Linked DNA regions of Struthio camelus. The protein of the gene in region 2 interacts with the protein of the main gene of each other region in a pairwise test. Links are inferred from orthologs where the notes say so. Each region holds a gene or a part of one and is shown on either strand. Other genes may lie near its edges.

Evidence for each region.
Region 1: the proteins of RALGDS (region 2) and RRAS2 interact in a two-hybrid assay, tested with the Homo sapiens proteins (2 studies listed by BioGRID and IntAct). The link is inferred for Struthio camelus from reciprocal best matches to the Homo sapiens genes RALGDS and RRAS2.
Region 3: the proteins of RALGDS (region 2) and KRAS interact in a two-hybrid assay, tested with the Homo sapiens proteins (3 studies listed by BioGRID and IntAct). The link is inferred for Struthio camelus from reciprocal best matches to the Homo sapiens genes RALGDS and KRAS.
Region 4: the proteins of RALGDS (region 2) and RAP1A interact in a two-hybrid assay, tested with the Homo sapiens proteins (3 studies listed by BioGRID and IntAct). The link is inferred for Struthio camelus from reciprocal best matches to the Homo sapiens genes RALGDS and RAP1A.

What each region holds. Positions count from the first base shown.
Region 1 is NC_090946.1:22,248,125-22,255,431, reverse strand, and holds the start of RRAS2 (ras-related protein R-Ras2), read right to left. Parts: upstream 3,004-7,307; 5' UTR 2,951-3,003; coding exon 2,846-2,950; intron 2,492-2,845; exon of another isoform or gene 2,242-2,491; coding exon of another isoform or gene 2,230-2,241; intron 1-2,229. UniProt on the Homo sapiens protein: GTP-binding protein with GTPase activity, involved in the regulation of MAPK signaling pathway and thereby controlling multiple cellular processes. Regulates craniofacial development.
Region 2 is NC_090961.1:5,247,781-5,255,001, reverse strand, and holds the start of RALGDS (ral guanine nucleotide dissociation stimulator), read right to left. Parts: upstream 3,018-7,221; 5' UTR 2,926-3,017; coding exon 2,743-2,925; intron 1-2,742. UniProt on the Homo sapiens protein: Functions as a guanine nucleotide exchange factor (GEF) activating either RalA or RalB GTPases and plays an important role in intracellular transport. Interacts and acts as an effector molecule for R-Ras, H-Ras, K-Ras, and Rap.
Region 3 is NC_090942.1:76,287,848-76,295,761, forward strand, and holds the start of KRAS (GTPase KRas), read right to left. Parts: upstream 3,011-7,914; 5' UTR 2,831-3,010; intron 1,584-2,830; 5' UTR 1,572-1,583; coding exon 1,461-1,571; intron 1-1,460. UniProt on the Homo sapiens protein: Ras proteins bind GDP/GTP and possess intrinsic GTPase activity. Plays an important role in the regulation of cell proliferation.
Region 4 is NC_090965.1:8,960,498-8,968,499, reverse strand, and holds the start of RAP1A (ras-related protein Rap-1A), read right to left. Parts: upstream 3,002-8,002; 5' UTR 2,867-3,001; intron 2,773-2,866; 5' UTR 2,564-2,772; intron 2,155-2,563; exon of another isoform or gene 2,022-2,154; intron 1,887-2,021; exon of another isoform or gene 1,603-1,886; intron 1,129-1,602; exon of another isoform or gene 911-1,128; intron 850-910; exon of another isoform or gene 767-849; intron 1-766. UniProt on the Homo sapiens protein: Counteracts the mitogenic function of Ras, at least partly because it can interact with Ras GAPs and RAF in a competitive manner. Together with ITGB1BP1, regulates KRIT1 localization to microtubules and membranes.

The DNA.
Region 1 (7,307 bases), on a different chromosome or scaffold from region 2:
CCAAATCTAGTACTGATCCATGTTTTAAGGAAGGCAGCTCTCCGAGTTTGTTACTTAAGCCAAAGAAATCTCAAAAATGAAGCACGTGGCTTGCTTGTAATCAATTTTAAAACAATCTGCAGCAGTTCCTATGCAGTTTTAAAAGACAAACATACTCAGCCATATGCTTGCTGCACAGAAGCTACAGAGGTGATTGCGTGGCAGAACTTGCACAGCACACACACTTGATAACATCATAAACATTAAGAGCTCAGGAAGATACGGTGGTATATGAATTTCCACCAAGCCTCATCTCTTGTTATCCATAACTACATAGCAAGTATTGAAATGAGACAAAACTTTCCTCTACAGCATCTGAGGCTGTGCTCAAAAGGCATTTAATTCCCAGATTTTTTTTTTTCCTCCCTCCCTGTTTAGAAGGTTGAGTTGTCTGCTGAAGATCACTTTGTGGTAGCAAGATTTTATCTCAACATTAAGGAGCAAAGGGCAAAAAGATGTAGATGATTTAATACAAACTGACAATAAGTTATTTTGAATAATTCATCCTCAACACCTCAGCTGAATGCTACAGCGTTGTTTGCTGATTATTCTTTAAAACTAAACTATTTTTTTTTCTGCTATTAAATTGAAGAGATCCTTACAGGTGACAAAACAGACGGAAGTTCCTTGCTTGCAGATCTTGTCCGAAAGACAAGCATCAGTTGCAGCACTTGAACCAAAACTTTTATTTCTATAGGGATGTAGCCCAAGCTATTGGTTATTTAAAGAACAAATTTCTACAGGTGCTGAAACACTAAAATGATCCAATATACTGCAGAATCTTACTGCTGTTAAAGTAAATGAAAGCACCAAGGCAGTATGCGGACTTCACTTTTTTTTTCTCATGTCTTTAATAGAAATGACAGCATCTTTATTTTTCTACCTTCAAAAATCAGTAATGAAACAGTTCATTGATTTCAAGACCTATCCAAATATAAGTACCTTCCATCAGACATTGTAACAGTCAATATTTTAAAATATTGTCTTTTCCAAACAGCCAGTAGTCTAATATTCCACCTTGTAAAGCTGAGAGTACTGAAAGCATCACTCCTCCTATGGAAGTTCACTGTAGCTGATAGCCCATATCAATAGCTTGATAGCCAGCTGTCAAGTTAAAGTTGTTCAAAAGCTTTTAACATAGCCAAGGACTATTCACAAATCCACTCAGCAATGTTTTCCAAGACAGCACCACTTCAAAAGTGAAGTTAGGTCATGTTCAGCTGCACATATTATTGTCAGAATTAGTTAGATGCCCACAAGAACACGCAGGCAATACCATCTAAAGCAATAATAATGTATTTAAGTATGAAAGGCACTCTAAACCTCAGCTTCAATCAACCACTGAAATTAATTATCCGCCTGTACAAGCAAGGAAGAACTCAATCAAGACAGCGGGAGAACTGTGAGTTATTCTAGTCCTATCCCTCCAAAAAGACCAGCCAGTCAATATCTTACAGGACTGAGATTTGCAGAGACTCAATATCTTAAATAGGGTACCTGATCAGCTAGCTATCTACACGCCCCAAGTGTAACAAATACTTCCATTCCATCTCAAACAAACACCTCTAAATAATTTTTCAAGAACTGACTCTCTTAAAGTGTCAGTTATTGGAACGTCCTACAGGATATACTGCATTTTCTAAGCATTCAGTTATCTAATACCCACATTTTGAAAGCAGTTTTACATGCAGTTGTTTAGTCTATGCTGCAGAGCCTAAATTCTCACCAGAACATAACAGCTAATGAACATAAGGATTAGAAAAGAGCTTCTGAAATAAAAAAGTGAGTCTATTTTCAACCAGATCAGCTGCCCTCACAGAACGTCCCCTGAAAATATCATTGCCCTAAGTGCTAAAAGGCAATGATTTGTCTTGATGTCTGACAACCTATCTTAAGGGTAGGCTGAGTATCAAGATCTCTCCTCAGAGGAACTAAAAAGTAAACAGAAAAAAGTCATTCTCTCCAGATTTGTTACTTTGTTATCAACAATACCAACAAACAGAACACAAATAGTGGTCTCCTCCATCCACCACAAAGAGACAGATTAATAATACTCCCACGGCAGCAGCAGCAATGCTAAAAGCGACAGTACAGAAGGGAAAGGTAAGTAACAGGGGTGCTGCTGAATTAAGAGAGCAGAAGAGCAAAAGGACCTTGCCTCATAAGACTGTTATGTACAATTTACCTCACCTTTCCTGTCATTTTTCCCTATAGTGGAAGTCAACAGAAAAAAAAATTAATTATTTAGAAGGTTAAGCCCGCATCGAGAACAATAATTCAGATGCAGAGGCGTTCAGAGAGCTGGCACAGCGTGCTCTGCAGGTTTGCAGATATTTCTCTTATTCAGCCATAAGACGCCCGCAAGAGCCTCCTCAGCGAGGCCGTACAGAGACGGACCGGGACGGCACCGGCCCGGCGCGCTCCCCTCCGACACCGCTCACCAAGCCGCACCGAGGGTCTGACTGAAGCCCCCGGCCCGGGGCGGGGCGGGCAGCTGAGCAGCGGCGCCGCTCGGGCAGGGCAGGGCAGGGCGGGCGGCGGCTTCGGCGGCGGCGGCGGCGGCGGGCCCGGCGCAGCCCCGCACCCGGCAGCGCTGCTCGGCCCGGGCGCCGCCGGCCCCGCCCCCCGCCGGGGCCCCTCAAGGTCGCGGCGTCGCCGCCGCCGCCGCCCGGGGCCGGGCCGGGCCTCCTGCGCAGCGAGGGGCAGCGCCGCCGCCCCGCCTCGAGCCGCCGCCAGCGCCCAGGCCCCGCCGCCGCCGCCGCCGCCGCCGCCGGCAGGGCCGGCCCGCGCCCCGCCGGCCCCTCACCTGTATGAACTGGATGGTGAGCGCCGACTTGCCCACGCCGCCGCCGCCCACCACCACCAGCCGGTACTTCTCCTGCCCCGGGCCGTCCCTGCAGCCCGCGGCCATGGGGGAGCCGAGCCGGGCCGCGCCGAGCGCGGCAGCGCCGCCGCCGGGGCCGGGGCCGGCTGGCCGCCTCCCTGCCGCCGCCGCGCCCCGCGGGAGGGAGTGTGTGCGCCCAGCCGCCGGCTGCGCCCGCCGCGCCGTGCCGTGCCGTGCCGTGCCGAGCCGTGCCGAGCCGAGCCGTGCCGTGCCGTGCCGCAGCGCGCAGGCGGGGCGCGGCAGGGGGCGGCGCCCGCTAATGGCCGCCGGGGGCGGGGCCGCTCCTCAGGATGGGAGTGAGCGGCCCGGCCCGGCCCGGCCCCGCCCCGCCGGGAAGGAGGCGGCGGCGGCGGCGGCGGCGGCGCGGGGCGGCCGGGGGTTCGGGCTCGCCCGGGCCCGACGCTGGCCCCGGCGCGGCCGGCTGTTCGCGGCTGGGTTCACGCTCCTAACTGCGGCGGGCACGGCAGAGCGCGTTATCTACTCCCCACCACCCACAAATAGACAACGGTTCATTTCCTCATGGGCTTCACTGTGGCAACTTGTCCTTTACGATACTGAGTGCTTCGTAAGCGTTAATGAACTTACCGTGAATACCCGTGAGAGAGAGGTATTGTTACCCCTAAAGCAGAGATGATGAACCAAGACAGAGTGCCAAAACATCATGAGTGTCAGGCACGGATCTACTGCGAGGGAAAGTAAGTGCAGGGAGACCTCAGCCCTCCCCCACTTTTCAGTAGCCGCCGCCACCACCAGCCAAAGCCTCACCCTGCTGTGTGGCGAATACGCCTGTGCCCGTGCACACGAACGGGCTTCTTGATCATTTAGACCATTTAGATGAAGGCTACATTCTTCCCCCGCATCACCCACCTCTGGGTGTCGCGGCCTAGGACACATCATGTGCATGTGGTCGGAGCCCTCTGCGTGCAGCTGCTGCCGGGAGCGCTCATCTCTTGCAAGTGAGCCACCAGCGCTGCAAGTCAAATATCCAGAAAACGAGGTAAGGCACAATGATGGATCACCTCTGAAAACGCTGGCTTCTGGGAATTCATTAACATCCCACAGGAGCTCTGGGGCAGCAGCAGGGAGGGGATCCAGTTCCCCCACGCAATGTTCAACCAGCTTAAGCACAAGCTATCCTTTCTCTTACGCAGTATCAGCCTCATACATCATATACATTCCTTATTGCAGACTCTAAGGATATGCCTATACTTCACAACGTAGCTGCAGAGAAGCTAGCGCAGATATCTCCATGTGTTCAGTTTGGACATGAAATAGGCATATTAGACAATATCTACACGGAGAACATTTTGTGGTAAATTTGGTCCTCTGTCTCTCTACTACCTCTGCTACAGTAAACTACTGCTTTCAGTGATGACCTACTGCCCTACTGATTTGGGTAATAATCTACTGTCTGACATGTTTCTGGACATCCAAAACACTAAGCAGATGGCTACTGCACAGGCAGTGTCAAATTGCTCTATACAGGTTTCATGAGTTCAGTGTTCCAGATCACATTAGACCTGTTATACACAGACTGGCTTATGTTGAGCATCCCCAGTATATCTGACCTGGGACAGCTGGATCAACTGGTTTTGGAGCCACCCATGAATAGAGGTGGCATACACTTTGCTTATAACAGTGAAGCAGAATTTTGGCAGCATACCTGATTTCAGGAAATTCCTTCTTCCCCTTCTCCCTTTTAAAAGGGAGAAGCAAAATCAAGCGCTTACATATATGAGCAGCCTCTTGTCAGCACAGAATGACAATCAGTTGTGATCACATTCCTCAACAGCATAGACACGCCAACAAAATTTTGTAGTGTAGACACACTCCTCCTCTCACCTAGAAAATAAGGAAAACAGAATTAGTGGCCATGTACAAAAGCTTTGCTAAAGTGATTTGCAGGGATAGCAATCCAGGTGTCATTCAACTTATTCACCTCAAAAAACCTGACTTTCTGCAATTGACATGCATTTCAGCTCTGCAACAGATGAGGCAAGGGTCCTATAGGCAGGAGTCGTCTTCTCTACGCATCTGGTTCGTTCCCACAGCACTATCCATTTGATGCAGTGAGTAACTCAGAAATCCATGGAAAAATAACATATATTGTGGAGCTAATTAAGAGCTAACACGATACCATCTGCACAAATGGGTAAATCAATGAGGTACAAGTAATCTTAATTCTATCATTTCCTAATTTGGCAAGCTGAACTTTGTAACTCTTACACTGCATTCCTTTCCTTAAAAAACGGAAGTGTACAAACAAAAAGGACATAATGAATAACCTCTGTGAACACCCCTTCTGCATCTGGAGCGGAGGAATATTTGACGCATGGAAGACACAAACCAATACCTTGTGCGTCAATGGGGTAACTGTAGGAGAGGGAGATGAGAGAGATGCTTTGCCACCAGGATTCACAACTATATTTTGGGAGAGGAATATTAGGACTCAGGACCCTCAGGAGTTTAGTACACTCCTGTCATTATTAGCCCCTTTTGCACATCTCTTTCCTCCCTGCCCTGGCTGATCAGAAATAAGGAACAGCTTCCAAGGGAGAGATTAAATATCCTAGGATTCTCTAGCTTGGAAAGGAGAAAAGTGAGAGGAAAATAGAGATCTACAAAGTCCTAAGCAGCACAGAGAAGTTGAATAAAGTTTCATAACAGGAGAATTAAGGGAAACCCAGAGATAGTATGAAGAAACAAGTTTAAATAAACAAAAAGGATTATTTTCTGCAGTGGAAAAAATTATGGAATTGTGGAACTCACTGCCACAATGCGTTGGGGAAGACAAAATTGTATCTGAGCTGACAGCAGGAGTAGACCAAGTCATGGAGCAGGTATTACACAAAGTGATCAGGGACACAGTTTTGATTCAGGAAGTTTCTAAGACACTGACAGTCAGGAGATAGGTTTGCTATGAGAAATAAGTTACTTTCTGCATGCCCTAGTTCTTGTACTCCCCCTAAGTTAGTAGCCACTGTCAGGAACAGAGACCTGTTTAAGTATTAAGCCAGAAGAATAGTTATTCTCATTCTTAATTATGTTCTCTAATTTACAAAAATCCAAAGTATGAAGTTTACTATGAAGAGAAAGGATATACAAAGTCGAGTTGCTGCTAGTTTATCAAGCATTAGGTCTAAAAAAAAAAAAATTACAGGTAAGATTTCACAATTGGCTATTAGTACTGTAACCAGTAAACTATACTCTCTGGAACTGAGACTGAACTAACATGAAAAGCATATTCATTGAAAAGCATATTCATAGCTATTAGATTTCTAATAACATATTAATCTCTGTAAAAACTACTGCAACAGAATATTTGAATTCTTTAGTTTACAGATATATAGAAAACAAACATTTATACTTTCCCTTGTCTTTTTTTATGTTTCAATTTCATTATACATCCTTTAAATAGCTATTCTTGCCGATGTGGCCACCCAACCTTGTGAATTCCACAAGAATACCTTAAAATCTTTAAAACAGACTTATTACTGTTACAATTCTTTGCACTTGTTGTTTTGGTAATGAAATCCGGTTTCACAAATAAAGTGATATTCTTGCAAAACACAAGGCAGCGATCACAAAACAGCAAGACACGGACAGCAATAACTAAGCAGCATTTTACTGTGGTTTATAACTGTATCCAAAGATCCCAGTAAGAGTTGTGTTGTCTTTGTGTTGGGTGTTGTATAAATATAGGTAAAGAGAGAGTCCCTAGCACAGAGAAGTTGCAGCCTAAATCTTGGGTGTTCAAAAACCTATGTGTAATAGTAATTTTCTATAACGGAAACAGTTGTCTTACATTCCCTATGCAGTACATGGAGAGAAGCTGAGGCCTCCGGAGGAGCGTGAGAGCAGCGGGGGCAGAACTAGTCCCCGCAAGTGCTAATCTCTCTACTTTCTGCACCTAGAGCCTCGAGAGACTGAGTATTGTCTCCCCCCACAAGAGCACCCTTTGAGCCCTGGTTTCAGGAAACAAGGAGTTTACAGAAGCATGAATAAAGAAATGAAGATGAGGATACAATATATAAACAAATAATGATGCATACACAATTCTGTTATTATGACCTCCTTTCTTTATACTCCTAAGTGAAAGCAGGTCCATGAGCACGGGAAGGGACTAGGCACACATGCTAGGGTCCAGGTGCAATTCTGAGGCAAAACAGAGCTGAAAGAAGGGGAGAATGAGCAAGTTAGCAGTTGCCCAGATCTTTATACAGAGATTCTCTCCTCTACTAGGCAATATAGACAGGTCTGTGAAGTACATGACTGAAGTATGAGAAGAGGAAGCAGCAGCTGATTTGGACATCAGCTAACCTAAGAAAGGCTGATTAGTCAGGGGCTTAGAGGTAAAGAGAAGAAACTTGTGACTGATACAAGC
Region 2 (7,221 bases):
GTCTATTCATCACAGTTAAAATCATCGTGCGATTACAAAGGGCTTTTGGTGCAAGAACGCTTAGCGACAGGCGGCTGTAAGAGAGCTAGAACAGACACCTCGAGCCGACGCCTTGGAGATGGCATCAGAAACGTTGCTGTGGGATATAGCAATGGTTGCGCTACAGACACCAGCAGGCGTTCAGCTGAGGAGACGAGGACAACGAGTTACGTATTCCCCATAACCCGATGGGCAGCTTTCCAGGGATCCTCCGATCCCTGTGGGACCAGGCTGTCAACCACATAAGTTGGCACAGGTCCACCAAAAACAGCTCTGTCCCAAAGGACAAGCTCAAGCCAGGAGGCACAACCGCCTTTAGCCCAGTCCTCCCTTTGGAAACAGATGTTGGTGAACACACTAGCGACCAAATCCTAGCAAGGACGAGGCAGCCGCAGCCTTGTGCTGCGTTGGCAGGAGGCGGCAGCCCCCAGGCTCTCACCTCAGGTCTGGAGTTAGCGCTCCGGGGTGCTTAGAGCAAGGCTGTGAGCGGAGGTTAGGAAAACACTGACAGGCTGTGGGGGTTTTCTTATTCAAATAATCAGCCTTCTTCTCCCAGGGTAAATCTTGCAGAGTAACTTTACCCCGGGATTACAACCACGTGAGGCTGGTGCCAGGGAAGGTGTCACAACAACACGGTCCCTCTTATTTTTTCCTTTCAGTGGGCCTTTCCCCAGTTGCGCTTTGTAATGACAGCGAGCAAAACGAACGCCGGCATGGCCTAATGAGCAACGTGGAGGTCCTCATATGGGAGCATGCCAGAGGTCAGCGGCTTTTGGAGCATCTCAGCGCTGTTCGGTAGTGAGTCGGTCACCACAGTCCCCTTTGGGAGGTGCCTTTTGTGAACAGATGGCAGAGAAAGGAGTAACCTGTCTGCAGACGTAGAGATATTCCGCGTAGGGAGGAGAATACAGGCAATCTGATGCCTGGGCTGTGCTCTGACCATTAAGCAACACGCTTCTACGCGCAACCAAAGGAAGGCAGGGTGCTACAGCACAGAGAAGAAATCTGGGCAAGGAGGACTGCAGAGGAGGTCTGCAGGGCAGACCCCGTGCTCCACCAGGTCCTCAGACAAGCAGGGGCTTGCTTGGTGCCAACTGGGGGGAATGCAAAGCCGCTTTCTCCCTGGTCTGGAGGCCTGTAACTTTGCCTTTGCAGCCCCCCACCTCCCGAGATGCAGCCAAACCCACTCCTGAACTCAAGGGCCTCCTCCGACCAGGGTGCAAAGAGGCTTGTGCATGCTCAGCAGCCCTTTTCCCTGGGTCGAGGAGTGCAGCAAGCTGAATCACCCCCTCTTTTCCTCTCTCCTCCCCATTTCTCCTGCTCTCCTTGCCAAAAGCGCGGCCCAGGCAGCCTCCCGGAGCGCTGAGGGATGGAGAGGCTGGACTTCCTGCCAGACATAACAAGAACCAGATGATGTACTCCAAACAATGTCAGTACACCCACCCCCAGGAGAGAGAAGCAGGGGGAGACGAGGGGGGAAAAATAAGCTGGATGGCGCTTTCATGAACTCTCTGCAGAGCTGATGAGCCCCTGCCACCACCAGCCAGCAGAGCCAGAGGTGAACCGGTACTGCCGCAGCCTGAGATAATTCCTTCCTGTCCATGGCTGACCAAGACTTTCCACCATAGGTAACAGGGTAGATCATTTAGCACCAGGAGAAAGAGCCATCACCCATGTAAATGCTGGCTTCCCTCCCCGGATATCTGTGCAGTAACTCAAAAGGTTTTAGTGGTGACTCCCCCCCCTCCCTCCAGCAAGAAGTATCCAGAGTGGAGAAGCACATCTGCAGCTGGCTCTAAATCCCAACAAAACCAGGCTCGCTGCCCCGTGCTGCTGTTAACCCCTGCGACGCTGCCCGGCTGTGCAGCGAAGCTCGCAGGGCTCCAGTGTTGCCCTGAAAGGCACCACCTCCGAATGCCAAAACCTTCCTCCAGCTGAGCGTCTCCTAACGTGCTGTTTGCTCAGAATTGATGACATTCTTGGCAGGCCGAGGATGATCATCTATTGCTAGGAAAAAAACCCACAGCTCTGACTCAGAGTATTCTGGTGCCCGTGTCCCCTTCTCCGCTCGTAATTGCCAACAACCAACTGCTCTGTTTGAGACCCCCAAGAGGCCAGTCCGGCACTGACCCACCCAGGGTCGAATCCAGAGGAGCACAGACATTTTGCATCCTCCAGCAGAGTCCTACTGGTGCCCACAACCTTCCTAGAGGACGATTATGTGGCTTCTTTGGACAAGCCTTTTGCCTTTACAAGCAACCGGGATCTGAGCTGACTCCCACCTCGAGCAGCAAGCCATAAAAATATTAAAAGCTTAAGCTTTAATTAAAAAATAAAATAAAATATTAAAATAAAAGACCTTGATTTTAGCAACCTGCCCCTCTCCCCCTGTTCATCTCCAGGGAGAGCGCCCAGTTCGGCAGCCTGCCTGCCAGTTAATGGCACAGCCACACGCAGCAAAAAGACCCAGCAGGGGCACGTATTTATTCAGCAAATAAAACAAAACAACAACACGTGTACCAGGCTACCACAGCCACCCCCTTCCCTAACTCCGGGCTGGTTTTGGCCAAGCTGCCAGCGAGGCAGAGCCCCCAAACTAGACGGGGACGCGTGCCGGCGGCCGCTCCGGGCACCCACCCTCCAGCGGGCTGAGCCCCCCCCCTCCCCGAACTCATCGCAGCAGTGAGCCCCCATCGCGCTCACCTCCAGCGGGGGCAGGTCGGGGTCCAGCTGCGTGAAGCTGTGCAGCACCACGGGGCTGCGCTCGCCGGCCACCTCCAGCCTCACGCCGCCCCAGAGGCTCCGCGCCCGCCGGCAGCCCTCGAACATCTTCTCGGGGGCGGGCGCCGCGGCATGGTGCGGCGCGGCCCGGCGGCGGCTCACCATGGGCAGCGCCGCCGCATCCCCGCCGCCGCCCAGCAGCCCTGATGTCCCCGCGGGGCCGCCACGGAGCCGCCGAGGGCTGCAAAACCCGGCAGCGGATCGCCGCCCTCCGCCCCCGCCCCCGCCCGGCCCGGCCCCCTCGGCCGCGGCGCTGCCGTCGGGGGCCCCCCCGCGGCCGCACCGAGGGCAGCTGCCCCGGCGACAGCACGAGCTGCCAAACGCTCCTGGAAGACGAGCTCTACGCGAGCTTGGGACTTGCACAGCGCCTCGCCCGGCCGCTCACCGAGGCTCCCCCCCCCCCCCCAAAAAAAAAAAAAGTATTAAATGCAAGTGTATGAATATTAACAGCACATGTGCAAGGCTGGACAGACAGCTTCCACCGAGTCACCCGAGCTGAGCCCCCAGCGGTGCCGGGCGGGTTCACGGCCCCGCACAGCCCCCGGCCGGCCACAGCTGCGGCCCCCGGGGCGGAGAGGAGGGGACGCGCCGGGCTGAGGCAGCGCCAGCGCCGGCAGCAGGCTCTGACCCCTTCCCCGACGGGCCGCAGCAGCGGGGAGGCGAGGTCTCGGAGCACCTGCGAACGGCGCAGCGGGCACGCCGGAGAAGAGACGCGGCCAGGGCGACAGCGGGGTGGCGGATCCTAATTTAAAGAGGCTCTGAGCCTCCAAGCAGATGCCGAAACCACGTAGCGTAACTTTGAGGCAAAGAGAAACAGGCAAAACTGGTGGTCGTTCATCGCTCCTCCAGGCCGAGCGCAGCACGCTCTCGCCCTCCCCAGCTTTTCGCCTTCCCTCCCTCCTCGCACGCCCCGACAAACCGTCGCACAGGGGCCAGGCAGTCGCTGCCGACACCACCAGAAACCAGGCTTTTACGCCGCAGCTCTCCCCCCAGCTGAAATAACAGCACGCTGCCGGGGCCCTCCAGCCCCGCAGCTCTGCTCGCTACGAGAGCGCGGCGCCGGGCTGCTACGCCCGTCCAGCTCCGGCAGGGCACGGCGCCTGCAGCTCCCGCCCGGGCAGGAAAGGATTAACAAAGCCGTGACGAATGCAACAGTCTAAACTTGACCATCTACCAGGCCAGGAGGATGAACGAGGACATTGTGGGCTGTTGTCCCCACTTGTCTGGGCAGCAAAGGGACACGGGGACTTCCACCGACCCAGCCTGCACCCAGGGCCTTGCGCTGCCCCAGGCAGCTCCCGTGGGGACCAGGGATATTCCCTCCAGAACATCCCAAGGGATAATCTCTTGGAGGTGATGCTGGCCCCAGCTCACCACGCAGCGCTGCTCAAAGCGCTCGAGCCTGCCGCGCTGACAGCTGCCGGACGGAGATGACGACACTCCGCACCGAGGCGCCCTTAGGCTCATTTACTCCTTCTGTGGAAACCACGTAATAGTGCAAGACGCGCTTTAAAACGAGTCCGGCCGCGTGCCTCATGTAATCCAGTAATGCAGAAATCAGAGCCGCCGCCTGATTTCTAGAGGAAATCGGCATTGCCTCTCCGGACTGCGAGGTCTTTGGGACAGGGGCTGCTTTTCGTCTGTGTTTAGCACCCCGGGCAATGAAATTATGGCCCACAACTGGAATTGCTTGGCACGACCACAGCCCGCATAATATAGAAAAGCACTAATTGCTTTCAGTTGGCAAAACCCTAAAAAACCCCTCTAGTTTTGTTTGACCTCTCTCCTGAAAGAGGCAGCTCTATTTGATGGGTAATTTTCACTGGTCCCTTGGTTGACCACTAAAGACTGTTTCAGGGCAGAAACACTTCTGATAATGGATAATAAATAATATAAAGCAGGAAGCCAACTGCAAGGGTTTAAAAATAGCCAGCCAGTTTCCTTTCTCCTCTCCTGGGAACCTTCTGGGTCCGAAAAGCAAAACACTCAAAGCGGGGTCAGGAGCCCACGTTCAGGATGTTTGCTCAGCGTAGCTAACCCCAAACACTCAACAATCATGGGCCTCTTGAAAATCATGAGATTCAAAACAAATAACTCTTGAGGGCTTATTTACCTCAAAGCCTAGGGCTGAAAGGGAACGCTCAGATCACGTTTTCCTCTACAACGAGAAAGGTCTAGAAAATATCTGAAAAATGCAATTACTTTATATGCACACGACTCCAGGAGCAGGAGCTTTATGAAAACCATTAACGACTGTAGGACTTATTAAAATAAAGTATCATTTTTGACTTGGCAACTCAGAAGAAACTTTTCACAACACACTGAGCATTTTGCATTGACGTCAGCTGCAAACGTCCCATTGACTTTACCGGGCGCAGAAATAAAGCCCAGCGCAGGAACTGAGTGCTGCGGGAAATCCCTTACATTGTTTCTTTCCATCACTTTGCAATCAGCGCTGGGCTGAATAAACACAAACCCACACAGCCAACACCAAGAGCACCTCGAAATCACAGATCCGCACACCTCTGCCGTAGGCTCCTGGCCACAGGCTTGGCCGCCTGGTAAATAAGGCAGAAGGGCCAACAAAGAGCGGCTTTTGCAAACTCTGAACCAGTTCCCTGATTTAGCTCAGTCCTTTTGGACCAGCACCAAGGCGTTCAGGCCGTAACTTCTGTGCTAGCAGGTCTTTGGCGCAGTCCCCCGTCATCTCCCTGGCACGAAGAGTCTCATGCACGCAGCCTTTGAACGGCCTCCCATCAGGGATGCTCTCCCGGCCTCGCAGCGACTGTCCTCCTTTGCGTTCATCTCAGCGCTCTACTTCTGAGAAGGGCTTTCCAGTGTGTTTCCTATAGGACAAACCTTGCGGTGACCCACTTCCCATTGCTCATGCTCATGCTTTGTTTTCCACGGGGACATCGGCTTCGTGAGCGAGGCTGCCCACCCCAGCCAAGAACGGCTCAGAAACGTTTTCCCAGAGATTGCTACCTCCGGCGGCATGGGCCCACGGCGCCGTACAAATACCACGAGTTTTCCTGCGACTGCCTTGAGGTCACGCACCGGCACCACGTCATAAAACCCCTGTTTTGAGTCTTAAGTGAACCAAGAGCAGGAGAGACGCCAGAGCAGAGGATTGAGGAGGCCTGAAATCAGCCCTATAGGCAGGAGGCAAGAGACGCCCCTGCTCCCGTGGCCGAGCCTTGCTCCAGTACTACCAGCTCCCGGGGTTGACAAGCAAAGCGGGACCTGAATCACTGGTCTCCAATGGAAACTGGTGTGTTTTAAGCAGGAGTCACAACCTTATCGGGCCTCTGCTCCAGCTCTGGCACCAAGGCACGAGGCAGGCTGAGGAAATCACCGCAGCGCTCGGTGTCAGGCCGCTCGTTTTAAGGTGGAGGTGATGATGCTTCTTTGCATTGCAGGGGGCCGAGGAAGCCCTTTTCGCTGCTGTTTGTAAGGCTCTTTGGAGGAGAAGCGCTACTGAGCGAAAAGAACTACTGACTGCTGGCCAGGCTGCTCATTGCTGCTTGCATTGAGTCCTAAATCGAAACTTTTTTGGATGTTCAGCCTTTGATGTGAAGGACTTCCATTTCCTCTGCCCCTGTCTTTCCAAGGCCCAGGCTCAGCAACCAGCACTACCTCTTCTATTTCAGGACCAGGGAAAAAACTCGGAGCTCGTCTACAAAGGGAAAGCGATGTCCCTGCTCTGGTTAGCACAATCTGTATATAGACATTAGATGAGAGCAGTTGCTGCCAAAATTTGGGGACCAGCAATCAGTGCCAGCCCTGAGAGTCTCTCGCAGACCCGATCCTCACCTGAGAGCACAATCAGTGTCACCGTTTAACAAGATTTTAGGGGCCAGCCAGAGGCCACTCGCTGTGGCTTACCGCAAGCTGGATTTGCGGAAACTCTTAGCCTGGTTTTGCAGATCCAGGGCAGTCGCATCGTCCAGCTCTGCCTCCAGGTTTTGGGTGTTTCTCAGGGCCGTTTGTCCGGCCGCGGGGAGCACTATGAACTCTTTGTGCTGACGGTCAGCCTGGCTCAGACCCTCTCGCACTTGGTGCCCTTTCCGCCGAGGCGCACCCGCTCCCCAGCTGCAACACCGCTCTCCTCCGCGCAGCCCCCCGCCGGCAGCTCCGGATTAAGCGCTGCGTTAATTCGGGAACGCCGCTGTGCTCCGGCCTCTCCGAGGCACGCCAACCTCCTGGCGCAGGCGGGCGAGCCCCTAATTACTGCCAGCGCCTAACGAAGCAAATCCCCGGGCAAGTAGGATCTCAACCCCACTACGCGGCTACTCTGCGTTTCATTTCCTGTAGCCCCCGCGCACAGCTGGGCTACAGCAGCTCCCGCCGAGACGGCGGGCTCCCGAGGCTCGGCCGCGGCGATGCCGTTACGCCACGAGC
Region 3 (7,914 bases), on a different chromosome or scaffold from region 2:
ATAGAATATCCATAGTACTTATTGTAAAGTGTAAATACACCTCTCATCTAACCGAAACCTGCCCAGATGATTAAGAATAGATATTACAAAAGCCAGCATCCCCCAAAGCTCCTTTTACAAGAGTGAGGAAAACTCACTGAGAGGGAAAGACAGAACGTGATTTAAGTGTGTTCTGGATTGTTGTTTTTAAAATCTCACATATCTTAATTAACAAAAGAGCTGCTCTTCTAGTACAAGTTAAACACTCCCCCTCTCTCTAAGGCTCTGTTCACAGAGTCTTCTACCAGCATACATGATATTATCTGGCCATTCAGCAAGCAGACAAGAAGACACAGCCCCATGAAGGTAATCCCAAACTCAAGCAAAGGTAGCTCTCACAGGGGCATGTTAACTCAGGTCTTTACTTCACTGAAATAACACAGCTTCCTACCATTTCAGAGCATAGACTCCTTTCACTTATGTCTACCTGAAAAAGGCTGCATAGCCATTCCCTGAGTCACCATTTAAGCCTAGATTTAAACCTCTGTGATTCCTTCAAGTGAGCTTGGAAGCACCTCATTGTATAAACATATAAATGAAGTCATAAGCTACAGAGCTTCAGTACTGGGAACATAAAAATCTTGGGTAAATTATAGTGTCATTTCTCCTTTTATACAGAGTCTGAGGTTATTAAATCCAATGATCCACAGGAGACTTCGGACAACACTAGTATTTTTCTTGTATTTAGAAGGCAAAGCTTGCCTGCTCATAAAAAAAGCTTTTAAACAGCATAACTTTTGAAGCTTAAATATAGTTTCAAGTTTTGAAGAACTGCATCATGTATTTCAAAGAATCCACTACAGCAGCTACCTTATAACATTTTTCTAGATATACAGCAACACCTACTGGCATGTTAAAATAAAAAAAAAAAAAAAAAGCCAGGCTCCAGATTTTGTCTCATTCACCATAGCATTCCAGAACACATTTCTCACCCTGTGAAACAGATCCTAATGATAAGAGCTGAGAAAGCTTGACAGGTACATTTCAGGACTACAGCTTCTCCTACTTGAGATCAAAAAGGAGAGTCACATTTAAGACATTTGTAGGTTGCATGCAAAATCAGTTTTGACAGGCATTTTTAAGCAAGTTTGACGAATAACATTGTTACTAAAATCATAAAAACATGTATTCAAACTGCCCAATAAGATATGGCAACTAACACCACATTTTAACTGATCAATATTGTTAAGTATTTACTGCAGCTTTTGTTCCACTGCCAGATCCAAAAGTACTCTGATTTGCTCTCTAATATTAGCTCTGTACTCTAGTTTGCTCTCTAATGTCTCAGACTTTATGTCTGAGACTTTTTCCATATAAAGCTTTTTCCTATGATGTTTTTGGGGTAATTGTCTAAAGGTCGTCAATCACCATTATTTACTGATAATTTCTCATCATAAAGAGTGTAGGATGGAGCTGTTTACCTCTATTGTAGGGTCATATTCATCCACAAAGTGATTTTGAATTAGCTGTATCGTCAAGGCGCTCTTGCCTACACCACCAGCTCCAACGACAACAAGCTTATATTCTGTCATTTTTTAGCAGACCTGATGACAAAGAAACCAACATTAAGCAGAAAGGGTCAAGCTCCAACAAAAGAGAATGCTGTTACTGCATTTTCATTCACTATCGTATTCCTTTACTATTGCAGGGAAGCAAATTCTCCCTCTTCCAAAAAAAAAAAAAAATCAGAAAAACAAACAAAAAGCCACATGTGCACACACACACTCAAAGGCTAAGAGGGGATGCTACTTTTCAAAAAAAAAAAAAATTCTTAATAACTGTGGCGCATACATGAAGCTGAAAGGCAGCGATTACAAAAAGCTGCCTAAAAAAAAAAAAACCTATAAAGTTACATTAATTTCTGAAAAGTGGTTAAAGAGTATTTTCTGTAGAATAAAGGCTTCATTTTCTGCTCGGTTTCCCTTCTGAAGTTCCACGAATTCTGGCAGACTTCCCTGATTTTTTTTTTTTTTAAATTTTTTTTAAATCGGAACCGACCAGCACTGAGCACCCCTGCCGATCTGTCCCCGCGGCCACCCCAAAGACGGGAACACGAGTACTTTAAAGGCCGGGCCGGGCGGGCTCACCTGACGAGCTGCCCTCCGCGGACGCGTCCCCCCACCGGGGCCGGGTCGGGCCGGGCCGGGCCAGCAGGGGCCGCCCGCCGCCCTCCTGCCCGCCTGGGGGCCGCCCCACCACGGTTCCCCTCTCGGAGCGAGGCGACGCGGCCGAGGCGGCCAAAACTTTCCGCGCCGCCGGCGCACGGGATTTTCAGGATTTTGAGTGGGGGGAAGGAAACGAGTAGGAAAGAGGGAGGGGTTTCGCGGGCGGCGGTTGACTGAGCAGAGGCAGCCGGTGCCGGGGCTCCCGGAGGGCGTTGGCCACCTGTCCCGCCGCCCCCTCCTCCCGCACCGCGGGGAAGGGAAGCGGCGCGGGGGAGGCGCGGGCTGCCGGAGGTGGGGGGGGGGGGGACGCGGGGCGGCGGCGATGCCGGCGGGGGAAGGAAGCGGCGCAGGGCGCAGCCCCCGCGGCGGCGGCGGCGGGACACGCGCGGGGAGGCGGCGCGGCGGCCCCCGCCCGGCTCTGCCCTCGCAGAGGTGGGCGGCGCTGGGGGAGGGGGTCGCGCCGGGGCGAGCATCTCCGGCCGTGGGGGGCGGGGGAGGGGGTGCCCGGCTCCGGTAAACCGCCGCCGACTTCCCCCTGCCCCACCTTGGGGGAAAGCGGGGGGGGGAGGGGGAGGAAGCAGCGAGCGGGGCGGCTAAGGCGGTGAAAGGAGGGGGATAGGCGGTACCTGCCTGGCGCTGTGCGGGCCGCGGGAGCACGCCGGTGTGCCCGTGCCCGTGCCCCTGCCCGCCCCGCCGCGGCGGACCGCTCCGCGTCCCTCTCCGTCCCGGTCTGAAATGGCGGGGGACGGGGAGGGCTGGGGCTGGGAGCTGCCGAGGGAGCCGAGCGCCGAGTGGGTGGATGGATGCGATCGACGCGCTCGGCGCTCCCCCGCCCCTGCGGCAGCCGAGGGAGGAGAAGGGGAAGGGGAGCTCCCCGCCCACTGACTCAGGCGGGGCGGGGAGGCAGGGAGGGAGGGGTGCGGCAACGGTCACTCGCGCGGGTGGCAACGGTCACTCGCGCGGCGGCGGCGACGGAGGAGGGGGGAGGCGCCGCGTAGGGGAGGGAAATAAGCGTAATTTCAGTGTTTGCTGCTTCCTCGCGGCGGGGGCACGCGGACCGTCAGCCTGCCGGGCAGGCAGCGGCGGCCCGGGCCGCCTCCCCAGCCGTCCCAACGGCCGCGGCCCTGCCCTCAGCCCAAAGGCACCCGCTGCCGCATCGCTCGGGGCGTAGGAAGAGGGGCTTTAGTGCCCCCGTAAGGCTTTATACCGGTTCCTAGTCAGGAGGCTGCGCTGGCTGTTTGGCAAGGTGGAGCGTGAGAGGCTCCCTGTGTAAACAAGAAGAATAGGGTTTATCCTTACGGGTCAAGAAAAGGTCACAAAAGCAGAAATGCAGAATTACCGTAAAACTTAAATGCCCATTGCAGTTTTAATAATTTCGGTATTAAGGTTAATAATTTTCACAATTAAACAAAAGGCTTTTATTAATTGCCTGGGTGCTCTGCACAACAGTTAATCAGCGTACTATTAGAGGCAAGGTAACAATTGTACCGCAAAGCCTACTTTCTCATTAAAAGGCCAAAAACTCAGTTCCCTCTAATTGGGTATACTGCATAGGTCATTTCTAAGCTTGTGTTATATGGTCATAAGTGCTATGAAATTTTTTGAAATATTTATGTCATCAGGTCTAAGAATCCAAGCTTATTCCTAGGGTAACTCCAGTGATGTCGACTGGATTACACCAGGGATTAGTTTGGCCAGTTCTGTTTTCCCTCTTAAATTGGAAAGTCAAAAATAAATATATTGTGTCTACACATCTGGTGTTCAAGAGTTTTAATTTCAAAGGCTGGAGCTTTGTTCTCCATAATTGTGTGTGACAGAACTTGCAGCTTCTTTCATTCTCAGTGTGCATCCAAGGCACTGCGCTTTTGGGCAGCATCCATCTGAGCATGTAAGGCATTAACCCTTTGGGACAATGCCATCTAATTTAAAAGCTGTGTTCCTGTGATTAATTCATGCAAATAAGCCAAAGACCCTGTGTTGCTGTTCAATGCTACTCCCTGATGCTCAGGTATGAAGACCCGGGTGGAAAACAAACATGTTTTTGAGCAGCTGTGTGAAAATATCTCTTCAAACAGAGCCTAGGAAAGATCAGAGGAGCTCTTTTCCTTGTATTCTTGAAGCCAGTCTTTTCTGTCACTGAAATCAGTGACACAAGTCCTACGGACTGCTATGGGAGCTTGGAGCTTGTGTAAGGATTCTTATATGCAACAGGAGGCTATATATTGTCATGAAATGCAAAAAAAAAAAAAAAAAAGAATTTGGAAAGCTTTTATCCTCTCCCAGTGATTTGAGTGTTAGTGACCTGGTCCTTTTTGTGTTAAATGCTCTTACTAGATTTTTTTATTAAGGCTGATGAGAAACAAAGTCACAAAAAGGCACATAAGTGTAGCATGCAAAATCATCTCACAAATCAGAATTAAAGCTGAATGATACAGATAGCTCACTTCATAAGCAATCTCACATGAGCAGTTGCCAAAACCAGAAGAAAGCCCCACTTTCAAAGAACGAGTAGCCGGGTGGTAAAACCACAAGCTTGGGATGTGGGAAACCCACATTCCAATCTGTGGTGTGAAACAGGCAAAGAAAGGATTTGAATGCGGATGTTCAGCAACCGAGGTAAATGCCTTGATCAGCTGTTTTAGGATAGCAGGATCTCACTTTTGTGTTATACCCCCTTAGGAAAACTACTTGAAGTGTTGTGGTTCATCATAAGGCAATGGGAAAATGCCTGTGTAACAGGAAAGCTTGCCCAGTTCTGCACTTAGTACTGGTGTTGCACAAACAACTTCAATGGTTTGCTCTGATCTACAGAGCTTTGTATGGGTAGAAGCTGTTCATCCTTAAACCCACACAGTCACAGTTGGAATCAGAAAAGTATCCAGAGAGACTTGGGTGGATCCTTCTCTGTGAAAACTTCAGGTCTTGATTACAGCTTGAATTTCCATGTTTTGTACTATCTCAGTGAAATACAAAAACTATCATTCTGCAAAGAGTTTGAGGGGGAAATGAATTGTTGGGAAGCTGGAAAAAGTTGAATGCAAAGCTTGTTTTTTTGTTGAATGCAGATTTGTTTCTAAATGTCTGTTATTATGAACTTGCTGTTTGTCTTAACTAAATTTCTCTTAGAAGAGATACCTGCTGGGTAAAGTGGTTTGAAAAGAAGCAGAAATAAAAGAGCTGATTGAAATATATAAAGTACCAACCTATACACTGCATTGATATGAAAGCCCTTGAAAAGTCAGCGCAAGTGATGCAAAACCTCCTAGATTTTGCTAGTGTCTCCTATGTGTTACCCACTTCATTTTAGTGATTGTTTCTACAGGGCAATTTGCACAGAGAATGCAGAACATAAGCAAAACAGACACACTTACTCAAATCCCAAAACACTTCAGGGTACTAGAGCTAAATACTTTTATTAAGTTAAAGCATATTCATAAATTCAAAGGCCTCTTCACATTTGCATTAAAATATTCCCGTCTGGATTATCTGGTCCTTCATGGATACTGATCTTCGAAGGCTCTCAGGACAAATCGCTGGTCAGAGCTCCTTATTCTGACAAGATGCTTCCCTTATGATATCAAGCACTAGACCCAAATGCAGGTATAATCCCATCAGCCACATATTCACCCTACTCAGACTTATCTAGTCCTATACTTTATACAATAAAGTCAAAGACATTTTAAATTTCAGAATATATGAGCATTTACCACCTGACTGCCAGGAATCCGGGGTGGTGGTGGAAAAGTGATACACAGCTCCAGCCTCAAGATAAACAATAAGATTTCCCTGTCTGACTATCTCTGTTAACAAGCTGAGACAGAAGTTAATTTTCCTGGTGCTTTTGCTGGCATTTAACTACATGCAAAGCAGATGCAAAGGCAATGGAGAATCACTACAGGGGGAGAAGTGGGTTTGTACAGTTTAAAGATTGCATGCCATTAATTTAAAATATTAGCATAAGAGAATTTTTCTGTCACACACAGAGAGGCCAAGGGTCTGCAGCCATTGCTACCTGTTGTCAGGTATGCTTTGTCGAATAACCACCGTTTATACATTTGGTCCCGGTCAGCACAAGCACGTGATTATATTTCAGTTCATTTAGCCAGAAACCACAATACTGGGGCTAAGGGTGGTTTCATGCTTTTAGGCTAGCAATACAACATTTTATGCCAGATTCAGCATAAAGCCTGCAAATACAAAGTGTTTACATGACGTTTTTTGAACACCTTTGACCCAACTGTGTGAGTTTATATTTTGCTCTAGTACAAGGTCCCATATGTCACCCATGAACAGCATGGGATCCATGGCATTTGGAATATATTAGCCTTCAGTCACTACCTTTTCCTTATCTCCTCCCAAGACAATTTTTAGACTTTTAAGGAAGTCCTACAGACTTAGCTATGCTGCCCTATCCTTGATAAGGCAACCTACAGAAGAATTTTTTTTTTTTTTTTTAAAGTCTTACCTAGAGCAGTGTAAATGCCCTTACCAATTTGTGTCTATTGACACAGCAGAACACAGCCTTATTCCCCAGACTTTTAATTCACTAACTCTAGTCAAGGCAGGGTCTAGAAGAGAGAGATGGTAATGAACTCCATGTTGGGAAGAATACAATGAACTTAAATACAGGAACATTTGTATCCATTGATAGATAGATTGATAAATGTAATTTTAAATGTTATTTTATGTTAAAATCAAAGCAATACTTTTCATGTGTGTTTAATTTTGGTCTTCCATCAAATTTCCTTTGGTGGTATGGCTCTCTTTAGTAATTTTACATTTACAGATTGAAGTCTAGCATATACGGACTCACATGGCATATGAACATAGCATACATAGACGCACACCTTATGTGAACATTTTTTTCCTTGTTGCTGTCTGCAATTCCTTTTAAAATTAGGTAATGGACCCCAAGAAATCCACAGGCCTTAAACTGAAAATTACTTTCAAATGCTTAGCCATATAAAGTACAAAACAAGGTTCTACTCCTTTAGCTTGAATGGCAGCTAAGCTGCCCTCTACACAGCTTAAACAGGAGACTAGTGCAAGGCCATTCAAATCTTTTTTTTTTTTTTCCATGTAGACTCCAAGGAACCAGGCTTAATATATTTTTCTTCAATAACAGTAGATTTGGCTTGAAAGTAATGCGTTAAGATACAGCATGTTACCGGTATTCATAAATGGTTTGACTTTTGGTTTAATTCAGCTGTCTCTGACTTTTTATTTTGAATATGTTTCTCTGCTAAAAATGGGGTGGAGGAACGGTTCAGCTCTGAAGTATTCTTTAGAAAGCTGGATGCTTTTGCCATCCCACCAATGTCATCTGGCATTAATTAACATAGCATCTCCCTAATTATATTGTCAGCATACAACCACTAAATTAAAATACAAAAAGAATTGTTAAGAGTTCCCAGTTTAACTCTGGTATTTCTTTTAAAGCATAATTTTTCAAGTTTTGTGTATATAGGAAATCAGCCAAAGCCCACTGAAGTTAATGGGATTCGTTCAGATTAAGCCCAGAAATGTTTGGAAAATCAGTGGGGTGTCCAACTTGCCTCTCTAAATCAAGCAATTAGGTACTTACATTCTGTTATTCAACACTGCAGATTTTCTCAAGGGACTGAAGAATGTCTTTCAGGGAGAAAAGGAGAGCTTCAGATGCACTGGAGGTTCACCATCCCATTGCACCTATGCCTTTAGGGTACCAAAA
Region 4 (8,002 bases), on a different chromosome or scaffold from region 2:
CTTTTATTTCATTTGAAACTTCAGAATTATAACTCTTGGTCTCCTAATACCATTTGGGCCTACTAAATGCCATCAAAGTTTTTTTTTCTTTTTTGCACTGTACATAGTTACTAACTTTGTAACGGACATAGGAAATACCTGCTTTTAAGATGTGTAACTCACTTTTCTGTGGATGATCTTAGTTTAACTGAACACAAATATTCCTCTTGTCCTGGTGCATGATCAGTAGAAAATACTACGCATGAAAATAGATTATTTTTAGAATCAGAATATGGGAGCACTGTAATTCACTTCCGGTCACCTCCACCTTAAAGAACTACATACATGTTCTCATTTTGACTTCTAAAGCTAGGATTTCACGACTTCTGCTATCCAATGCAACAGAGAGAATGAAGTGACAAGCTGCTGAGAATCAGAAACGGTAACTCCCTAGCTTATAATTTAGCACTGAAAATTTTTGTTGAGATATGTTGTCAGTCTTCAGGCAATCGCGTCAATAAATTGATGGCATTTTCTCCTACCACAACTGTGGTAGGAGAACCTTAACTATTTTTATTTATAACACTGATCTTTTCCATAGCAACAGGATATGAACACGGCATTCCCAGCGTAATGAAGTCACTATAGCAACACGATAATGATGTCAGAATAATCAGAAAGTTTTTCCTACTTCAGCCATGGTGAACTACACTACTTCTCAAAATTAAAAACGTTGCAGATATCACAAAGGCAAGGGTGCTCCACGCCAAACTTCCCTCTAAATTACCTCACTTCTGCTAGCTTCTTACGAAAGGTTCAGACCTTGAGTAGCAATGCGGCATTTTCAACTTCACGAGGGCTCGACTCATTACTGCCTAGAGGTTTCAGGAATTCCACATTAAATAGCTTTCGGTGAGAATTAACGACATACCGTTTCATTAAGAAAGAACAACAACTCCTCATCAAAACCGTGAAGAGCTTCGCAGTAAGGACTGCGACTCTCAGTTAACAGCGTGTTTCCTCGGTTTAACCGTTCAAAGGATGCGGTGCCCCTTTTCGCTTTGCATGCTACTGCTACGCACGCCAAACCAAAAAAAAGCAACCGCAACAGAAAAGGCGTCGGGGTATCATAACCCTCCGCAGGCGACGGGCCTCTGCAAATGGAAAAAGCAACTATTCCAGGAAATATCGTCTCCCTTAGCGAGTTATTGGGGGGGGGGGGGGGACACAGAGTTTTCATGATTTGTCCTTTTTGTGGGCAGCTCTTTCCAAGTTGTGACCAAAGCAAACCCCCCCCCCCAAAGTCCCTTCCTCAGCTCTGTCAGCCAGCACCAACTTCTGGCCGCCTCCAAAATCCCAACCCGCCGGCTGACAAGGCGGCAGAGCAGCCTTCCAACCCAAAACACCGCTCCGGCAGTTAAAATAACGCCAGCAAAGACGGTGTCTACACAGAAAAACATCCCCTGGACAGAAAAACAGAAACAAGAAGCCGTTTCCGAGCTGGAAGCGGTCTGGGAGGCCGCGACGACCTGCTCCTCGCCGCTGCCGGCGGCCCGTGTCCCAAAAGCCCCTTGCCAAAACTTAAACCGCGGTGCCCCCCCCCCAAAACGGGCCCTTCCGGACCTGCCTCCGCCCCGGCTTTGCCTCACGCGTGGGGACGGCGAGGGCCGAGCAGCGAGAAGGCTCCCGAAACGCAGCGCGGAGCCCGGCCGCGGCGGCCTCGCCCCGAGCGCCGCTCTCGGGCTTCCCTCACGCCGCCCTCGGCGTCCCCTCGGCTCCCCGGGGGGGGGGGGGGGGGGGGCACAGCGGACTGGGCGCAAAACACCGCGGTTTGGGCTGCTTCCCGAGCGGAGCGGCCGCCGGGGCGACTCCCCGGCCAGGCCGCCTCTCACTGCCCCCGCGGCGACGCCCGCCGCCCCGCGCCCCCCCCCCCCCGCCGCCGCCGCCCCGCCACAAGATGGATGTCAGCCCGGCCCGGCCCGCCGTGACAGCCCGGCGCCGGCCCTGCCGCCAGCCGCAGCCCCCGCTGCCGCCCCGCTCACCCGGGCCGCTCCGCTCCGCCTCGGCGCTCGGGGCTGCTGCGCGCGGCGGGGGCAGCGCGCCCGCTCCGCCCTCAGCGGCAGCGGCCTAGCGAGGAGCCGGCGGGGCCCGGGCGGGGCGGGGCCGCCCGTGACGGGGCGCCGCCATGACACCGCCCCCCGCCCCCCCCCCCCCCCCCCGCAGCAGCGGCGGCCGGAGCCGCGCTGAGGTAACGCGGCGGCGGCGGCCGGAGCTGCCGCGCGGCTCGGCGGGCTGGCGGCGCTCCCGGTAGGCGGCCGAGGCCGGTAACGCGGCCGGGAGCGTTTCTTGCCCTTCATCGGGGCACAGCGGCGCGTCCCGTCCGCACGGGGAGGGAGCCGGGCCGCTGGTGCCTGGCGGGAGACCCCCCCCCCCCCCCGGGACGGAGCTTCCCCCCTTTTCGTCGTGTTTTCAGTCGCCAAAACGCACCTTGAGACGCGGCATTTATTAGCTACGTACTTATTTTTAAAAAACAAACTGATAAATAAAGCCTTAACAACCCCATAGGATCAAAGTAAAAATATACCTAACAGGAGACCTGCAGCCGAGGAGAACCGAAGACGAAGGGAGGAAAGAGGAAACCGCGCGTCTCCGCGTTGTCCTTGTGTCACTCCGCGTTTGGGGGCGACGGCAGCCGTTGGTGCAGCGTCGGGGCCGACCGAGCGGCGTCTCCTCGCCTGCGATCGGGGGGACTCCTGCCCTGGCTCTAGCGTGAACAACCCGGCTGTCAACCACCTAGTCAAGAAAAGCCAACATCAGCACTTAAATTTCTACAAAACAGAAGTTTGTGCTAATTAAAAAAAAAGAAAAAAAAATCATGTAAACGCGCCATAAGAGCTGCGGTCGTTTCCGTGATTTGAACGCATGGTGCTCGGTGAGTATGGCTTAAAACGCAGAGGGATACTCCATCCGTCCGCAAGCACGGCGTCTGCCCACTGCGTAACCCGGGGACACAACGAGGGCTGCAGCCACCGCCTCCGGACGAGCTCAAGGTTAGGCGGGGGACAAAGGACTCCGAGCTGTTGCGAGAGGTAACGGCAAAGCTCCTGCAGCAGCTGCAAGAGGCTAAAACAGGAGAATTTGCTGTGCTCCTTCCCAAAGACTCTCTTCATTACGTTGCTCTTGTTCAGACTTGCTGGCAGCTTGAGTATAAAACATTTTTTGCATTCACATTGCCTTTCATCCAAAGGGGAAAAAGCTAAGTATTATTTGTATTAATAAGAAATATTATTTCCTTCACAGATGGGGAAACAGAGACAGATTAAATGACTTATCCAAAACGCCTAGCAAGTCAGTGGCCAAGAGATGAGTACAACTAAGAATCCCAGCTCTCATCCTCTACTCTAATCAGAGAAAATAGCACTCCCGCTGTGCTTGTGAGTGCAGGAGAGATCTACAGTGCAGAAGAATTTTGCTTCCAGGTATAAATCATGGATGCTGATATTGATCTGTAAATCCCAGTTCTTTATGGCTCAGGTCCTAGCAGGGTATTTCTTTCCCTGGGGACCACCATGCTGGAAGAAAGCAAGTAAATCACTATTTCTTAATTTGTATAGCTGGAGGCAGGTTAGTCTCAGTGGAGGGATTTCCACATTTGCTTTCTCCATTAGGTTTGGCAGAACTCAGACTTGTCAACCTCAGTAGCATTGTTCAAAATCCCTCCTTTTGCAGGGAGGCATTTTATGTGGATGGATCACATGCCTTTAAGGATACCTAAAGCTGATTGCTGAACATCTTTGGTTGCTTCAGAATTGCAGTTTTATTGTTGACTCTAAACTTAGGCAGCAAATGACTGGCTGTATATTGTTAAAATTAAGAGGCTGTATCCAGAAAACATGCAAAGACAAAAAAAATCAGTAGTAACTGATTCAAAAAAAAATCAGTTTTGAAACTGTAAGTCAATAGTTGTGAAAGCTGCAAGTCAATAAAAATTCACTCCTGTGGATAGGAGTTGCATGAGAAGATCCTGCTTACATCCTTAAGGGGCTTAATATACTTGAAGGTATATAAGCATTCTGCCAGGCTTTATCAGAAGAGTACATTTTGCTTGCAGGTTTCCTTTAAAACTAAAGGTTTAATAAAACTTTGTCTCAAATATCAATGCATCTACAGCATCCAGACACACTCAGCGCCTGATTCAGCAAAATAAAGGACCTACTTAATGCCTGTTCTAGGACAGTTGATTCCCCCCGCCCCTCCTCCAGTTTTCTACAGATTTAGATGCAAGCTGAAAACATTTATCACTTAATCAGACTTTGCACGTACATGAAATTAGATCTGGATGAATGTGAACCTTGGCTATGAAGTAATGCATTAAAAAGGAAGGCAAAGGATGAAGAAAGATCCAAGTTCAACTGCAGTCAGTGGGAATTTTCCTACCAGTTTCTGCAGGGAATAGATCTGGATCTTCATTTCTTATAGCCCTGCATGCCACCTTTTTCCATTAACAGAACAGATACGGCTCCCATAGACAGACTTATATAGACGGGGCCTAATTCTATATGCTATGAATTCATGTATAGTTAGTGCTATGAATGTGCCTGATTCACAGTGCTATGTTACTGCACTTCTCCTGTGTAATGGTGCTTGCTCTTTAGCAAAGAAATTGAAACTGTCAACTCAGTGTTATTAAGTCTTGCATCTACACTTTCCACACCTTGCCTCTCCTTCAGTGTGTTTTCTAAACAAGAAAAAATACTATCATTTCAGGAGATATCACTGACCACCAGGTCTGGTAACTGGCCACCTCTTGCCAAGTGTCAGGAATAGCTTAAACTAGACTTGAACTAGTGAAACAGAAAGGAGATTCTCCAGGATCTGTATGTTTCTACATTACTACTGATGTCATCGCTTACGTCTGCTTAAAGTGGGTAAGAAGTGCTAACATCCCAAAACAGTGGATTTCTACTCCACACAGCCTCAGCAACACCACAAGGAAAAAAAGCAAAGAATTAAGCCCTCTATATCCTGTCATCTACAGGGTACAACTCTTTATATATTGAGCACAAAAAGATCCTTAACATTGCAGTTTTATAAAAAAATTGCAAATTATCTTGACCTTTCTACTCTTTTAAAAAAAATGTTGATGCATAACATATCTTTTCTGAAGTCCCTGCTCTAAATCCATTGATATCATTAAATTATACCAGTGCTTCACTTTTTGTGTTATGTGGCCGCAGTGAAAGACTGGGTAGAAAACATGGTTATTCCCAGCAACTGCAATAGGATTGACATTCTTTGCCTGGATGTGCTGCTGAGTTCTAGGGGTTATACCGAGGTTCATATAGACAGATGAAAATGAGTCATAATCCCTCAGGACACTTTTTTCCAAAATAACAATTGCCCAATTGGATAAATTATCACAAGTTCAGCTGATGCAAATAGCTAGCTAATACCCATTTGCTCATTTAATGAAATCCAGAAACAATGTGCAATCTCATAATGAGCCTGGATTCCTAGCTGATAGAATCACAAGACTAGAGAACAGAAGTCAGCTCAGTAAAACACATCAACAGTACGTTTAAATGCAAGTGTATTTGACACTGTGCAGACTCATAATACATTGCTGTTATTAAATGCAAAGGTGCTGACTTCATAAGGATCATGTTCTGATTGACTGAACTTTGTAAACCGCACAAAACAGGAATTTGTCCTTTCCAAACACTGTGTGATAATGAAGAAAGGATAGTCATGAAAGAATCAGAAAAATATTCATTACAAAAGCTCAACATGAGCTTTTGAAGTGGAAACATAATATTTTCTTTACAGTTTAGATTACAATGTATCATCAGGAATAATGACAATTGTAATATTAACAGTGCATGCCAACAACTACTGGCACTGTAACGACAGTAATTTCTTTCACTGATAACGTGGATACAGGGGTCACTGAGCATGCGCTTTGTCTCACGTCACCAGGCCGTGCAACATCATGATGCAATGCTCTAGAGGATGCAGCGTCCCTGCCAGGGTTCAGACCACGAAGGACAGCTTAAAACATACCAGCGTTCGACAAATTCTGTGGAGGCAGGTGAGCTCCAAAGCTGTGAGCCTATTATCAGAGCAGATAGGCAGGACCAAACAGGCTCCTCTGCTGAAAAAAAATCATTCATCCTCAGGTTGCCGCAAACCCATTTTTTCTGTGCCTGCTGTCAGGCTGGGTGAAGCTACTGGATAATTATCCAGATACGCTGGAAGGTGTGGAAATTGGGGAGGGAAGGCTGGACCCAAGGCAATGCTCTGTTTAAGGTCTAACTGGCTTCCTAAGGTAAGACCTGGGCTAGCTCTGGAGGTCAGAGTTAGAGCCCAGAAGAGCAAGCACTTCTCTCTGCCACTGTCTTCTCCTGACTCAGCTGATATCATTGAAGTTTCCTGAAAACACAGGAAAGGCTAAATCCCAAGTGGTTGCTGCAGATGCTGAAGTACTTCCAGGTTTCAGCCTCAACAAAGACTGTCTTCACCTATGAGCACAGAGATTACAGAACAGATGAGGAGGCAGGAATGGGATTCCCTTTATCAGAAGTACAAAAGATCCTGGGCCTTCTTCCTCTGTGACTTTTACTGATCTCTCTGAAAGGGAGATAGAGACTTCTTAGGCAGCTTCCTGAATGCTGTCCTAAATTGAAAGCACACCAGAAGTGTCTGGTGTCTGTCTGGTGTTTGTGATAGCACAGAGTAGGGAGAAAGGTAGAGACTGATACTTGTTTCTGTTTCAGTGGTTTTTATAAATATCATAAAAGCCTGAACCTTGCTGGGGAAGGAAGCATTTAAAAAAAAAAAACCACACACACACAATTCCTGCTTCTCAGGTATGTCAGGCAACTGCTTATTATCATACATAGGAGTTCCCATTCTTTAGGCTAATGGCAACATAGCAGGCTGATTTTTCTACAGGCAATTCAAGAATTTACTTGTGCAAAAGTGTAACAGCCTGGCATTTGCTATGAGATCAGGCAGCTGGCAAGGAATTGTCCCCAAGTGAGTTAAAATGAGCCGAGAAGTTAACTTGTGTACCTCTCTCTCACTTTTTAATCACAGGTATTGGTTGCAGAGCTATATTTGAGAGTCTTTCAAGCAATGTTATCCATGCATCTCCCCACTGCACAGCCAGTCTATTCATGGCAGAGATTTTCTTCCAAGCAGTGTGCTATATTTATTTTTTGGTGGGAGAGAGAATTTTTTTCAGAAACTGGGATCACAAAATAGAAGACTCAGTGAACTTGCTTCCCTTGCGCCAGGAACCGTTTGTGAAACATACGGGAGATGTTACCTGTTCTGGGAGGATCTAACCAGCAGTAAATGGTGTTGGAGGTGTCCAACTATGCAGAAAGACAGTACTGAATTGGGCCTCCTGTGTTTTATTCCTAATTCTAGAAGGCAATGAAGTCTAATAGAGGGCAGCCAGGGACTGGACTGTGGCAGCTTGGCTCCCTTTCTTGGCTGGGCCACTAACATGGCATGTTACTGCCACCTTTCCCTATAGCATAGGGATGGAAATATTAGTCTCCCTCGTTGGGAGGGTATGGAGTTGAATTAAAACATACCTGCAATTCTCTATGCATCTCGAGTCTGGTAAAGCAGGATGCCAAAATGTAAACTCCAATGAATGTCAGATGGGAAGGCCTGTATAATTTACATGGCAGCAACCTGGAGACTCAAAAGACAATAATAATCCCCCAATAGCTCTACAGTCATTTTGCTTTCAGTTGGGAACTCCATTCTTTTCTGGTAAGGAAAATTGGAGGATGCATTACCTGCAATTCCCGTATCACGGGACTCTTCTTCAGCTACTAATCTTTCATTCCTCCCCCCAGCCCACTTGTAAATGCAGAAATTTGCAAAACGGAGAACTACCTGAGCAGTCTTGCCAAGCTGCCGTGAAAATCTAACGGCCTAAGCAGAAAGCAAGTTTGCCTCTTCTTGTGCTGGCCAGGTAAAAATAGAAAACAACAAAAAGGTATTTTAC